4 linked regions of the Danio rerio genome follow. The main gene of each other region encodes a partner of the protein of the gene in region 2 in a complex. Links are inferred from orthologs where the notes say so. Each region holds a gene or a part of one and is shown on either strand. Other genes may lie near its edges.

Region 1 (3,943 bases), on a different chromosome or scaffold from region 2:
TTGAAGTCTATAAGAAATATCTGCTGTTGGAGGCAAAGGCAACAGAGGAAATCCCATATAGTCAGAATTTACGTTCTCCCTTCTGGCTTCTTCAGGGTTTTTCTGCATTTTAGGAGCTTCAGCTGTTCGTGTGTCTGTGCTTGATGATGACTCTGTGTTTACTTCCGCTTGCTGACTGTGTAGTTGTGCTGAAAACAAAATAAGCATATGATAGTTGTTAGACTTTCTACACATGCAATTTATTTAGAGAGAATACCAATGCATTACCATACCTGCATTTCGGCTTGCCCAGTTAACATATCTCCTTCTGTCTTGTAATTTCTGCTTTGTTTCCTCCACGGTTTCATACTCAGGAGCATAGCAGACATGCAGCTGACCCCCGAAGAAGCTCTTTTCATCTGTGTGCCTTTTAGCTGCCCTGTAAAAAAATAAATTAATTAATTAATTTAAAAAAAAAAAAAAATTATATATATATATATATATATATATATATATATATATATATATATATATATATATATATATATATATATATATATATAGCATGGCAATATCCACTCACTGGCCATTTTGCTAGGTACACCTGTCCAACTGCTCGTAAACACCAATTTCTATGCAGCCAATTACATGAAAGCAACTCAATTCATTTATGCATGTACATGGTCGAGACAATCTGCTCCAGTTCAAACATGAAAGCATGGATCCATCCTATCTGCTCAATGACATGCTATCATGTCAATATGGACCAAAATTAATGAGGAATATTTCCAGCTCCTTGTTAAATCCATGCCAGAAAGGATAAAAGCAGTTCTGAGGTCAAACCCGGTACTAGTAAGGTGTACCTAATAAAGTGGCCGGTGAGTGGATGTCATTCAGTGTAACAATAGTTTATAAGAAAAACAATTTTTGTCAGGCATATTTTTAAAAATCCCAGTACAGCTATTTTTACTTTGACACTATCCTAAAAATATATAGTTTTATTAAAATATAATTAAAATAACTACGATTACTTAATTCCATATATTTGAAATAATTATTCTTTGATTTTTGCTTTGGTTTAGAGGGGAAAAAATATGTAAAAAAGTATTTATAGAATTATCAGCAATAAATACTCTTTATAATATTCTTAAAATGTTTAATGGCAGTAAAGAGATTTACAGTGTTATTAAAGAGAAAGAGACACTAAAGAACATTAAAGAATCTTGAACAAAAAAAAAAAAAACCCTTAGATGTTTTGGATGTTAAGTTGTGCAACTTTACAACATTGATAATAATTAGAAATTATATACTGCACAACAAATCAGCAAATTAATTATTTCCGAAGAGTCATGTGACAATAACCATGTATAAATGCGAGTACCAAGCATGAAAATTACCCTTCATCCTCAACACAATACATTACACTTTTAAACAAGATAGAAAATGTGACAATGTAATAATACATCCGATTGTTGATGCTTTGTTTTTAGTTAAAAAAATATTAGCTGACTTGGTGAGCATAAGATGCTTCTTTCAAAATCATTTTCAAAATGGAAGACTCCAAACAATTGTATGGTAGTGTGTGTACTGTATATAGTTTTCTATATGTGTTTATTTAATATTTTAATAATGAATCATAATGTTTTAAGTCACATTTTGTGGAACCTACAAAGACAGTTCACTCCAAAATAAAAATAGACATCATTTACTCACCCGTTACATGTCACAAACATCGTCTGAGCTGAACACAAACGATATTTTAAAGAAAGCTTGAAGCCGGTAACCATTGACTTCAATACTATTTATTTGTCCTACTATGCAAGTTGATGGTTACTGGATTCCAGATTTCAAAATATCTTCCTTTGTGTTTCAAACCACTTGAGGGTGAATAAATTGTTATTGTTACAGTATTTGAGTCAACTATCCCTTTAACTAAAAGTGAATGCGACTCTGCAGTGCACCAACATGGTACATTGAGGTAAGGATGGTTTTAGATTCACACATTCTTTCAATGACAACTTGTGACATGCTCCCTATATTGTTTACCATGGTACTTTTAATATTGGGTTTGAAATCACATGCAAGTATGACTTCAAATCAGCATTACCACTATTTATTTGACTGTGAACAATGTTGAACTTTGATAGTCACTAGCTGCTAATTTGATTCACTATTAAGAATATGCAAAGAATACTTTTCTGAAATTATATCATCAACAAGAAAAATATGGCACAATATATAATATATGGCACAGACTCGCATGGGACATGATTTAATCAGCCTTTTCTTACCGTGCACTCGTCAACTTCTGGAACTGAATTAAGTAAACCTCAGTGAACTCTTCTGCTGGGTATTCATCCAGTGGCCTGTACTCCTCGATCACTCCATACAGAGCAAACAGCTGCACCAGCTCAGCCATCACTCCAATAGCGGGCACTCCTTGAACTAGTAAATACCGAGACTCCAGGTTGATGGTGTACACCTAAAATTAGCGATTCAGCCATTATTTTTATAAGCAGAGATTCAGTTCTTGTGAGAGAGACCTTAAAGACAACATGACTGCTTACATTGACGCTGCACAATTCGATGAGATAAAGGCATTTATAAAATAAACCGACCTTAACAGCTTTGAGGCGTCTTCCTTCTCTGTATTTTGGTCGCGTTTGGGCAACATTTTGCTGCTCGTGATGTTTATACACTTTTTGTGTGTCCCACACAGAGGAACTAGCAACTGACCCGTCCATCACTGTGGAAATCAGCGACGAAAAAAAACAGGCTTTCAAAATAAAAGTTCCAATTAGAAAAAATAAATAAAAGCCCGCTTTCCCAAAAGGATGCTAATAAAAATAATATTAAGAAGAATAATGATGATGGTGATAAAAAAATATTATAATGATAATGACGATGATAATTATAATAATAATTCATTTACACATCCAAATTATGATAAACACTTCTAACAAAATAAAATAAATATCAAAAAGATTTGGACAAAAGTCAAAATTGTAAGATGCTAACTCGCAGAAAATGTCGCAACTATTATAAATGCAGACGAATTAATTATAAACTATATTATAAATTTATTTTAAGTTTTTAACGTTTAAAACAAGCTTCTTTTTTTACCCATTTAAAGGGTTAGTTCACTCAAAACCGAAAATTCTGTCATTATTTACTAGGTTGTTGACTTGTTCCAAACCATTTTGATTTACTTTCTTCTTAACACAAATTAGGATTTTTAAAAATACATATAATACAAAACTTCCATATAATTATTTTCAGCATTCTTCAAAACATCTCTTGTGTTCAGCAGAATAAAGAAACTCAGAAAAGCTTGGAACCACCTGAACCTCTGAGTAAATAGTGAGCCCATTTGATTTTTTGGGGTGAACTCAATATATTACTATAAATTACTAGTAGGCCTATTTAATGTGGGAGATCATTATAAAAATTATTAGAAAATTAAGCAAATATATACTATTCAGTTGCTGGAGTAAAAGATTAACAGTGTTTTACATTTATTAAATGTAAAAAGATTTGTACATTACATTGATATAATGATGTAGGCTATTAGCCTATCCTGTACATTAGCTATATTTCATTCATTATGCATCCATTAAATAAATTAAACCTGTCCAAATTAGATCGTTTAAAATGTTTGAGCAAACGAGAATCTGCTATGTTGACTTTGTCAGATAAATAATGACTGATCATCTATGATGACTGATGGAAAACTGTTCAGTGTATTATATTGAATGGTGATTATTCCCCATTCGCCCGTCTTGATCGCTATATTTGTGAAATGGTATGCCTATGCATTATTGTTTACAGTGTTTGCCTATACAATACATATTAACAATAACCTTATGTGTAAAATATATTGATGATGTCCGAGAAGAGGTTAATAACATTAACACCCGTCTAACTTAGATCGTGTGTGCCTGAAACGTGTGTATATCTGCAGCTG
Region 2 (4,141 bases):
CCGTCAAGGAGCAATAAGACCCTCCCAACCACTATGGCTGTCTCATCCTGTGCAATATCAAACTCCTGAGAGATAGAAACATTACAGTCCACAAACAGAGTGCATCAAAACCCCACAAAGCAAGAACAGTCCAGTTGTCTTCAGTGTGAGTGGCGCAGGCTCTGTGGGCTGGGGGGGCGGAGAAAGGCGCTCCATTGGCTGGCCTCCGCCTCACTACCGCATCACACTCAATCACCTTGAGTTTAATGCTATATCATTTATCTAAATTGCAAGAGACGAACAAGCAATAATGAGTACACAAGGCATAGAAAAGGTTTTATTAACAACAAAATGAAGAGGAAAATCAATCCTATTAGACCCGTTAACTAAGACACACGTGCTAAATCGTGCTCCTGAAGATGTGCACCAGAGTTCGGTTTTAAGAAGAGCTGGAGCAGAAGTTTGCAATGAAGTAGATCTTCAAGAGCAGGACTGAGCACCTGCTGTTCTAAAATAAGGCCTATACAAATGTGTCTGACTTTATACAGGTCAAGCTCTCTCAACAGGATCTGTGGAATAATTGAAACATTTACTTCTTTTTTTAGATGCCAAAGACTTTTAAGTATTGACTTACTTGCATTCTACAGCAATGAATTTATATTGGCACAATGAAACCATGCGAGGAAGAGTGATATATATATCAGTTATCTCTGTGTGCGCTTGCATAAAAACATTTTGAAAATCTTATATAATTATGGTGCAGGCTCTTTAATAAAATACTACAATATTATCCAGTAGGGCTGTGCAATTAATCGAAAATCCGATTTTGGCTTCCAACAATTATGAAAAACCATTAATCGAGATGAACGATTATTACATTATTTACCGCCCCCTTTCCAGTTGTAAACATTTGTTGCTCTTAAAAGCACGAACTAAACCGCATGCTCCTGTTTGTGTGTGTGCAGCGAGCACACACAGTCAGAAGCATGCGGTCAGCATTCGGTCTCATTCGCACACGGTGACGAGCAGAGCGCACATCTAAAGTCATTAATGTGAGCGTTTTAATTTTCAAATAGGCGTCCATACGCGGTGTTTAGTGATTATTCATATTAACCCTCATTTGTGTAATAAACAAACGAGTTGAGAATCAAAAGAAACGTAAAAGCGAAACCTTTAAAGTGACAGCGCACTATTTCTGCTACCGCCTGTTTCGATCAGTATTAATCAAATAAAAAAAGGAGAAAATCCCTTACTGCTCTTGAATGAAGGACTTTTGTAGCTTAAGTGTTATTTTATTGTATTTATTTCTCTTACCTTTGCAGGGAGGAAAATAACTGTTGAAGTCAGAATTATTAGCCCTCCAGAATATTAGCAACCCGTTTCCCCCAAATTTTGTTTAATGGAAACATTTTTTTTAAACACATTTCTAAACATAGTAGTTTTAATAACTCATTTATAATAACTGATTTCTTTTATTTTTGCTATGATGACAGCACATGATATTGGACTAGAAATTTTTCAAAATACAAGCATTCAGATTCAAAGTGCGATTCGAAGGCTTAATTAGGGTCATTGTTAAGTCATTGTGTAACAGTAGTTTCTTCTGCAGACAATAAAAAATATACATTGCCTTAAGGGGCTTATAATATTGACCTTAAAATAAGTTTCAAAATATTTAAACCTGCTTTTATTCTAGCTGAAATAAAAAGACTTTCTCCAAAAGAAAAAAATATTAGAGAAAATACTATTAAAATTCCTTGCTCTGTTAAACATAATTTGGGAAATAATTATTTAAAAAATTCACAGGAGCACTAATAATTTTGACTTTAACAGTAATCATTTTGAATAATCGTGATTACAATTATGACAAAAATAATCAATCGCAAAAAATCAAGTAATGCACCCTTCATTTAAATATGCGAGCATATTTACTATACAAAAAAAAAGTTAATTAATTGTTAGCAAGTTAAAATGTTTATTCAAGATTTTGATTTTAGAGTGATTCAACAAACTTTTTATTCTTTTCATCCTGGCAGTCATAATCGCTGTAATTAAATTACAAATAACTGTAATTAAATGTTTTATTTTAACAAAGAAAAGATGACTAAATTATTCTCTTAGGTATATCATATTATTCCACAAACACTGTTGATTAAGCTCAACTTGAAGAATTTCTTCAAATTACTATATGGCTATGCCATGACAAATTAAAAGTATGTTTTAGACTAAGGAAACACCTTAATGTATTATAAATAAGAGCAAATACCTCTCTGGAATCCCAGCAAAATCTTCCTGAAAATTAAATCTGTACAGACTAAAATAGCAACTAATACAGAGAGCCTATCTAAAACAGATAAAAAGGGTCACGTCTCTTTTTTTCGTACTGTTTAAAGGCACAATCATACAAAAAACAAAGTCTTTAATAACTGACAGATGAGCAAGTAACTGAGACTCAAGTAAAAAAAAAAAACAAGTCTCTTACACTACCAATGTTGTACTGCATTATCATCCTACATGCAAAATCATCTTTTCATTTTATTCCTTAATAGTTTTCATTTCCATAAAAGTGATAAATCAGGCCTTTATGTTTAAGATGTACTGCTAAACTTTGACTAAAACAGAAAGGCACAAATGATCAAGCTGAAATGACTCTACCACTGGCACAATGTCAAGCCCTGCTCATAACTCACCTCAAAAAATAAAGCTCATCATCAAGGGAGAGTTGGATTCAGAGAGACTTTGGGCTCAGTTGAGATCTAATTAGGAGTTGGTGCTATACTTCAGATGCAAGGAATAAGATCCATATTGGTTCAGGCCTTTTAAATCATAAATCACATCAACATTAGAACATTGCTGTTCAGAAGGAACGGTGTCACAAATCATTTCTTCAGAGAGAAATATATCTTTTTACCCCCTTTTCTGTCTTTTTTTAAATCAGGCAGACAGTTTAACACTGTGATGTTAGATGTTTCTGCTGTTACATCTTCACATGACAAATGTTTCAAATAACTGTCAGCGGTTATTCATTGATCTTCAAACCTTCTCTTCTTTCCAAAGCACAACACATCTAATATAGACTGCAGCATGTGTATAAAAAAATAAAACAAGAGCGGGAAGAGCAAGGTGGGGGTCTACCTTTTCCTCCAGCTGGTTAAAGACAAATTCAATGACCACATCATCCTCGAAGCCAAGTATCTCTGTCACACGCTGGGTTATCCAGGGCTTGATGACTTCCAGGTTGACCTTGGTCATATCCACCTAAAACCACATCATAAAATAATCATAATTACAGGATCTTTACTTGTATTGAGCTAAAAATGGTTTATTGTCAAATTACAAATCAGAAATAACCTAAAATGATGATTTGCTTTGCAAAATTACTTTGTATAAATACCTAAATTTTTAGTTCTTCTAAATATTACTTGCAGAAAAAGAAGCCCCGTTTTCACTGCTATAAAATGTGTTTTTACATGTACACTAGGGCTGCACAATATATAGTTTCAGCTTCGATATTGCAATGTGTGCCAGAGATGCGCGGTTGGCGGTTATAGCCGCGGACTCCGCGGATAAACCGCGGATCGGGCGGATGACGTTACGAAAAAATAATATTTTAATTAAATTCGGGCGGGTGGCGGGCGGTTGTACTGTTTTTATATTCATAGCTGGCGCACCAACGAAAAAGCCTAGGACTGACTTCACAGAATGGGAGGAGGAATCGGATACATTAATTCTGGATGTAGTGTACAAAAGTATTCCTCTACAAACTTCCGTATAGACGGATCAGCATAGGAAAATCTACTTTCCTTTTGGGAGAAATAAGGCCAGGCATTCCCATGACTACAGCACCTTTCCAAGAGAATTCTATGCATTTCAGCAACAAGTGCTGCGAGCGAGTGCTCCTTCAGTGCAGCAGGGCGCAGTGGCTATGCAGGCACTCCCGTCTGAATCCTGACACTGTAGATGCCATTTTATTCCTGCATTGTGCCAAGAAAAAATCAAACTAGACCTAAGGTCAGGCATATTAAACCAATTAGCCTATGTTATTTAGGCTGCACATATGTTCAATATAAACTTTTGAGTTTGGTCAGCTGATAATTTTACGTTCATATTGGTTTAGCCTATTCTATTCTAGACATGTTGGCCTCGCTTTTACGTTCCGAGG
Region 3 (4,173 bases), on a different chromosome or scaffold from region 2:
GTGCCATAGAGCAGCAGTGAAGAGATTGTAAATAAAAAGGATGTAAGGATGTCGCTAGAGAGTCTTTCTGGTTTCTTTTCTTGTGCATCTCAGCCACTAGCTCCCCATGTGAAAGATTTTTTTTAGCTTAGTGGGTAATGAAGTCATTCAACCTCACAATTTTGTAACATGTATTTGAATAATGATGGTCGGTTTCTTTACTTGAAAGCTCAGATTTGATTATCATAATTTGTTTTGTTGACAGAGTTTAAGGTATGAATAATGATACAGTAAACCTCAAAGTTTGCTTTAATTGTTCAGCGTTTACTCTTTGCCATTGTGTACACTTTTTAACATTTTATTTATCAAGTTTAGGAGTTTCTTTACCACTTATATTTATATAATAAAGAGATCAGATAGTCTGTTTAAATATTTTGTTCTTGACTATTAAAACTATTTGCCTCAGTAATGTTGGTAAATTAAAATAAAGTGGTTAAATAAAACAAATCCTAATATTCACAAATGTACTGTTAAAAATATTCAATAGTTATCTATATCGAACTATATAAAACCTGATATTGTGATCCTTTTTTTGCAATATTGCCCAGGCCTATGTTGAGCTTGGATTATAACTCATCCTTTTAAGTGTTTTTTAAGGGTCTGTGAGAGTTTTAAAAGCGTGCAGGCCTCAGAAATTGAACTGTTTTTAACTTTGACAAATTCTATTGAATTGGTTCTAATACGAAGACTATGCAGTATTATTTTACATTTTAATTACTGTATACCTGATCACAGTTTGACTCCTGGAACAACAATAAAACGCTGTTTATATAATTCCATTTTTTTTGTTAATTGTAGATCGTTTATATTTTATGCATATGCACTCCCCTACAATCATCCTAATCAATCTAACTCACTATGTTAAATTTTTCCAATATCATGCAGCCCTATGACACTGTATCAGACATACTAATGTGCTTGTAAAATAATAAAAATAATCAAATCATTATTATTTTACAAACACATTGGTATGTCTGATTCAAAAATAGGAAGAATTTTGTGTTTTAGCCATTGTAAACGTCTAAATATCCTTATTTTGTTGTTCTCCAAAAACTACTATTACGGTATAGTAATATTTAGGGCCTTTTATGATCCGTTTTAGGAGACAGGTTTGTTTTAATGTAGCGCAATAAGTAAATCAATAAAATTAACAAATTTAAAAATAAACTATAAATGCATTATGTTTCAAACTAGAATACAGATCTGATCAATAGCATAGAACAAAAATAAATAACTTATTTTTCCAGTGTTTGCATAACAGTATGCAAGTATGCAGTATTCTACAAGTACTACATATCTTTATCTACACATAGACTGCATTCCATTTGAATTCTTGCTTCGTAAAGCGCTATACGGTTTAGTCTCAAAGACGCATTGGGATATAAATGCAGATTCAAATCCAGATTGATAAAATTGACCAAAGAAGTCAAATGTGGATCATTTAGCATGTTGTTGTAGCTCAGAGGTATTGCACATTTACAAAGCCAGGGTTTCTGCAGGTTTCACCAGGTCTAATTTAAAACTTTTAAAGACCTTTTTAAGACCATCAAGAATGAGATTTCAGACACATATAGGTATAAACGCAATAGGTTTTTTTTTTAATGGCCCTGCAGGAAAAATAAAATTATATATATTTTAAATAATGTGTCAAATAAAGCAGACCCTAGTTGTATATATGCATTTTTTTCAACATAACTTAAAAAAAATAACTGTTAAAAAATTTAATAAACTATTGTATGCACAACACGATGTTATAATATTGCTTATAAATAGAGCTTTGCTAAAAGTTTAATTGAGATGTATTGTTAATGATTGGGTGTGTGTTGGGTTGATTGGGTAACCTTTGATACAAAAAAGGAAAATTAAAGACCGTTTTAAAATTATTGAGGCTTACCTACAATACCATATTTAAATAAATTTAAGACTTTTTAAGGTCTACAATTGTGTTTTGGAAATATAAGACTTTTTAAGATAGAGGTAAAGTTGGTTTTATATTCAAACATTTGTTAGAGGTAAAGTTGGTTTTATATTCACACATTTGTTCATTTAGATGTGTCTATAATGTTTACCATGTTACTTTCAATATTCGATCGGAATTAGCATGCAAGTGTGACTTGAAAACAACATTAACACTGTTTATTTGACAGGGAACAATGTTGTACTTTGAAAGTCATTGGCTGCTAATACGATTTCGCCATTTAGAGTTTGCAAATAATACTGTTATGAAACTGTATTATTAAGGGGAAAGTCAGAATGTGCTAATATAAAACTAACTTTAACGTTACCTCTATCTTTTTAGGTCTCCGCGGGCACCCTGAAAGCACGCTTGACTTAACGCAGTATGACTAAATGCGTGCGTTATTCAAAATTATGAACATTTAAAAATATGAAAAGAAAAAAATAACTTATTTCATAAATTAAAACAAAGACCAATCATCATAACGTAAGCTAACGTTGCGCTGTGAACAAACTAACTTAGGTATGCGAATGTGGCAAAATTACATTACTTCAAAGAATGCAATTATTTTTCTCCTTCGGCTAAAACTAGTGGTGGGTATTTCTGTAAATATTATCGGTATGCTTACCTATAATGAAAAACTGTGATGTTTTATGGAAAAACGAATGAATGATTCCCCCAGCAGTTATTGTACACAATGGCTGTGCGAGGTGACTTCAACCGGACCGGAAATAGTTACTCTGAAATCTGTATGTGTGGAAAATATCACTGCAGTCAAGAGTTCCGCTCTGGTGGAAAGCGCTGCTCATGCTGCTGGGCCTTATTATTGTGATAACGACTTCTTATCCTCCGTATTACATATACCTTAAATGTGGGATGTGTGGAGGTGGAATATTGATTCTAGCTTACATTATATTAGCTTACGTGACTATCATAAATACTGCTCTAGGAAATTTCAGAGGTTTGGAAAAACAGTCAGCTTAGCAACAGCTTGAACATTTCACTGATAATAATAGAAGATAAATGTGTAATAAAATAATGTTATGTAAAATCTCTAGGTTATATAATGTAATTACATACATTGTAAAAATCCTCCATAATAGGTTTCTTGCATTACCCAAAGAGCACCAGGGCTTCTGACTGACTTGATATTGTTGCTTAGCCTACGATCAGCAGTCTAAATGAAATTTTAATGTTATTATTAATTTAATGTTAATAATAATATTAATGTTATCAAGAGAAGTTCCTAATTCAACTCTATGTCTGACTGAATTATATTATGCCAAAAAATCCACTAGTTGTCACAAAGTCAATCAACAGCACTTCTTCAACATTTCTTCTACCATTGATTCATAAACAAAGAAATCCCTCCTGCCATGTGAACTGTTTTTGGTGGAAATTTGCAAGGTAACCTTATTTTTTTCTCGACATATTACATTCTAAAAACTTTACAAAGTTATGTTACTTGCACATGACCACAAGGTATTATTATATATCATATATGATGACTAAAAAATTATTTCCAGGACATTTTTGTTCACTGTTCTGTTCTTGCTGGTTGAATCCATTTCCAAGCCTTGAATCTTGAATCCCTGTCAATATCTGAGAGACAGCTGAAAAATACTGTGTTCCATCAACACTTAATTGCAATCAATCAACCAATCAATCAATCAATCAATCAATCAATCAATCAATCAATCAATCAATCAATCAATCAATCAATCAATTTTCTCTTTACATAATTTCTCTATTCTTGCTTTTATTATTGTTAATAATGCTTAATTATAATTTTACATCACTTTTTCACATAGATGGATACGTGACTGCATGGGCATTGCGAGTGTTCGTGTCCATAGAAATGTATTATCCTCCCTACCTGTTAAATTTGATCTAATCCATGTCCTGAAACACACTTCATCGTCCACTTCCACTTCTAATGCCAACTAAGGGAGCAATTCGTTTGTGAATGCATCTCTGTTGTGAACAATTTGTGTGAACTATTGATATACCTGCTTTAATGTGCATAATATCCACCTTTCTGATCTAAATGGTATAAAATTTGTAATATTCAATAATTCTGGGTGGACAGTATTCAAATTAATGTCCAGATACTGTAATGGTATCAGGCACCCTTATAAGTTATTTAAAAAACTAGCATTTACTTCACTTAGCCAACA
Region 4 (2,849 bases), on a different chromosome or scaffold from region 2:
CTTGTTTATCAGATGTCTCCTCGCTGCTCATCTTCACCGTGTTCACCGGGGATGATATTTACACACGCTGTGAAGTTTGTCATACCTCCGCGGATGCGCACTTCCGTTCATTTGCATGGAGCGACCTAACTGGCATCTGTTTAAAGATTTAAAGTTTACATGAATCTTTGACGCTGACATAAGAAAAATAGCATTTTAAAAATTACTTTAAATAATCCGGGAGCAGTTTCATTTAGTGAACCACCTTAGCGTCTAGTTCAGGTTCCTTTCCATGCTACTGTGAATATTCTGTCTAATACAGCATATATGACTTCAAAACAACATTAGCAGTATTTCATTGACTGTGTGTGAAAAAGTTGTACTTTGATAGTCATTGGCTGTCTGCTAATATGATTTCCCAATGTAGAATATAAAACCAACTTTACCTCAATGTAAATATTATAGGGACTGTGTCACATGTTGTCTCTGAATGAATGTGTCAATTTAAATTTTACTTCTCCTCAATTTAAATATGTTACTATTGCAGTGTGAATGGATGTAGCTCAGTGGTAGAGCGCATGCTTTGCATGTATGAGGTCCTGGGTTCAATCCCCAGTATCTCCAAGAGCCTTTCGAGGTTCTGTCCACAGACGATAAACAGGGTTAAGAAAGTGGTGTATGGTCATAGGTTTAGTTGCAGCGTCTTCAATTGTCTTATCACACTAACTGTACAAAAAAAAAAAAAAAAAAAAACTACTAACACTTCCCTTCTTAGACTTTACAGACCTGAAACTTGCCTTTAGTACTTATTCATTGTTGCTCTTAGTTGTGTAAATTGCTTCCTTGTCCTCATTTGTAAGTCGCTTTGGATAAAAGCGTCTGCTAAATGACTAAATGTAAATGTAAATGAAGAGATAAAATTGCTTTAAAAAAAAAAGTATGCAAAAGTAAGCCTATATTAACATGGCTATTTTTTTAAAGTACTCATGGCTAGGGTTTTATACTTGCATATTCATTCAGTGACAACTTGTGACATGGTTTTCTACATTAATTACCTTTCAACTTTGAATATTCGGTCTGAAATCGCATCCAAGTAGGACTTAACATCATTAGCACTATTTTATTGTCTGTAAACAATGTTGTACTTTGATATTCATTGACTGCTAATATAACTTCCCCATTTAGAATTAAGAAATAATGCTTTTCTTAAATTATTATTATTATTATTAAGAGGAAATCCAAATATGCAAATATAAAATCACCTCAATTGTAATTTGGCCGATGTAAATTTTAGCCCTTTATGCAGACATGCTAACTGTTGAAATGTCTCATCAGGAGTTTATTAAACAAGCCCAAATCTGAGATGACTCCAGAGGAGCTCCAGAAGCGAGAGGAGGAAGAGTTTAACACCGGTCCACTTTCAGTGCTCACCCAGTCTGTGAAAAACAACACACAGGTCCTCATCAACTGCCGCAACAACAAGAAGCTGCTGGGCAGAGTCAAAGCATTCGACAGGTAACTCGTGTCATTTTGAGTGATAAATAATGCAAGCAGGCTTTGTTTACATTAGTGCTGCACAATATTTCGTGTCAGCATCAATATCCCAATGTTCGCATCTGCAATAGTCACATTTCAAAATATGCAAGAATTTTGTTGACCAAGAGCGACAGAATTGTGTTTAATTACTGTATTTATACAGGATTTAGGCAAATAAAGCATTTCTTATCATTTTTGGCTTGTTTCTAGTCCAAATGTTTACATTTCAAAGCTAAAAAAATAACAAAGTAAAAGTGAAACAAAACTATATTTACTTGATTCAAAAATTTTAGATATTTCCACTAGTAATGAGACAAAGCAAAGCAAGAAAATTATTTTTTTTTACATTGTGATTAATTTCTGTGAATTTAATTTCTGTACCTGAATACTGTTAGACTCTATTGAAAACCATCAAACAGTGCTATTTAAATTCTCTTCTAAAACTGTATCCCATATTGCAACATTTATTGCAAATTAAAATCTCACACTATCAAATTTTTCTAAAATTGTGCAGCCCTAGTTTACATGCACAGGCTTGTGTTGATATGATTAAACTTTTGAATATCTGTGTTGCAATAGTTTTCTGAACAAAGTATCTGCAGAGTAATAGTTGCATTTTGTGTCAACATAACCTATGCTTGTGTCTCCTGTTTGCTATAGGATTTGCTAAGATGTGTATTTTATTTGCTACAAATAAATTATATTGAATTATTTAATGATTTTGCTGAATATTTTCCCAATACTACCATGTAATATATAAACATAATATAAATTATTACTATATAATATCTAAACTATTACTATATAATATATAAACTATTACAATATAATATATGAACTTTTAATATAAGATATTTAATATATAAACATATTATTAACTTTTCCTATATAATATATAAACCATGAATATATAAGATATATAATATATAAACTAGGCTTGGGCGGTATCCAACCGGCGGTATACCGTCAAATCTCCTCCCTATTTTAACCAGGTATCCGGTATTACCAAGCATAATAAACAAAATTACGACGTAAGGCTCAGACAGCGTCACCAAATTGTGCCTAAACCATTCAGAAACTGATACCGTATATGCGACCTTAGGTTTGCGGTCACCTGTTTGTCTTGTTTGTATTCTTCTGCGTAGGACGCTCTTTCTTCAAACACACACACACACACACACACAGAGATAGAGAGAAAAAGAAGAGAGAGAACCAAGCAACACCCAGCAACTCTCTTTCTCTCTCTCTCTCTCTCTCTCTCTCTCTCTCTCTCTCATTCACACACACACAAACACACACCGAGAGAGAGCACCAAGTGACACACGCAGATTGCA

Evidence for each region.
Region 1: srrm1 (region 2) and rbm48 share a complex: the UniProt entries of both Homo sapiens proteins name them as parts of the minor spliceosome. The link is inferred for Danio rerio from reciprocal best matches to the Homo sapiens genes SRRM1 and RBM48.
Region 3: srrm1 (region 2) and sf3b5 share a complex: the UniProt entries of both Homo sapiens proteins name them as parts of the minor spliceosome. The link is inferred for Danio rerio from reciprocal best matches to the Homo sapiens genes SRRM1 and SF3B5.
Region 4: srrm1 (region 2) and snrpd2 share a complex: the UniProt entries of both Homo sapiens proteins name them as parts of the minor spliceosome. The link is inferred for Danio rerio from reciprocal best matches to the Homo sapiens genes SRRM1 and SNRPD2.

Annotation. Positions count from the first base shown.
Region 1 is NC_133194.1:42,804,731-42,808,673, reverse strand, and holds the start of rbm48 (RNA-binding protein 48), read right to left. Parts: upstream 2,801-3,943; 5' UTR 2,724-2,800; coding exon 2,598-2,723; intron 2,462-2,597; coding exon 2,271-2,461; intron 419-2,270; coding exon 273-418; intron 189-272; coding exon 1-188. UniProt on the Homo sapiens protein: As a component of the minor spliceosome, involved in the splicing of U12-type introns in pre-mRNAs.
Region 2 is NC_133192.1:26,823,025-26,827,165, reverse strand, and holds the start of srrm1 (serine/arginine repetitive matrix protein 1), read right to left. Parts: upstream 2,801-4,141; 5' UTR 2,670-2,800; intron 1-2,669. UniProt on the Homo sapiens protein: Part of pre- and post-splicing multiprotein mRNP complexes. As a component of the minor spliceosome, involved in the splicing of U12-type introns in pre-mRNAs. Involved in numerous pre-mRNA processing events.
Region 3 is NC_133188.1:27,082,030-27,086,202, reverse strand, and holds the start of sf3b5 (splicing factor 3B subunit 5), read right to left. Parts: upstream 2,801-4,173; 5' UTR 2,625-2,800; intron 1-2,624. UniProt on the Homo sapiens protein: Component of the 17S U2 SnRNP complex of the spliceosome, a large ribonucleoprotein complex that removes introns from transcribed pre-mRNAs.
Region 4 is NC_133193.1:43,804,206-43,807,054, reverse strand, and holds part of snrpd2 (small nuclear ribonucleoprotein Sm D2), read left to right. Parts: intron 1-533; exon of another isoform or gene 534-603; intron 604-1,314; coding exon 1,315-1,494; intron 1,495-2,849. UniProt on the Homo sapiens protein: Plays a role in pre-mRNA splicing as a core component of the spliceosomal U1, U2, U4 and U5 small nuclear ribonucleoproteins (snRNPs), the building blocks of the spliceosome.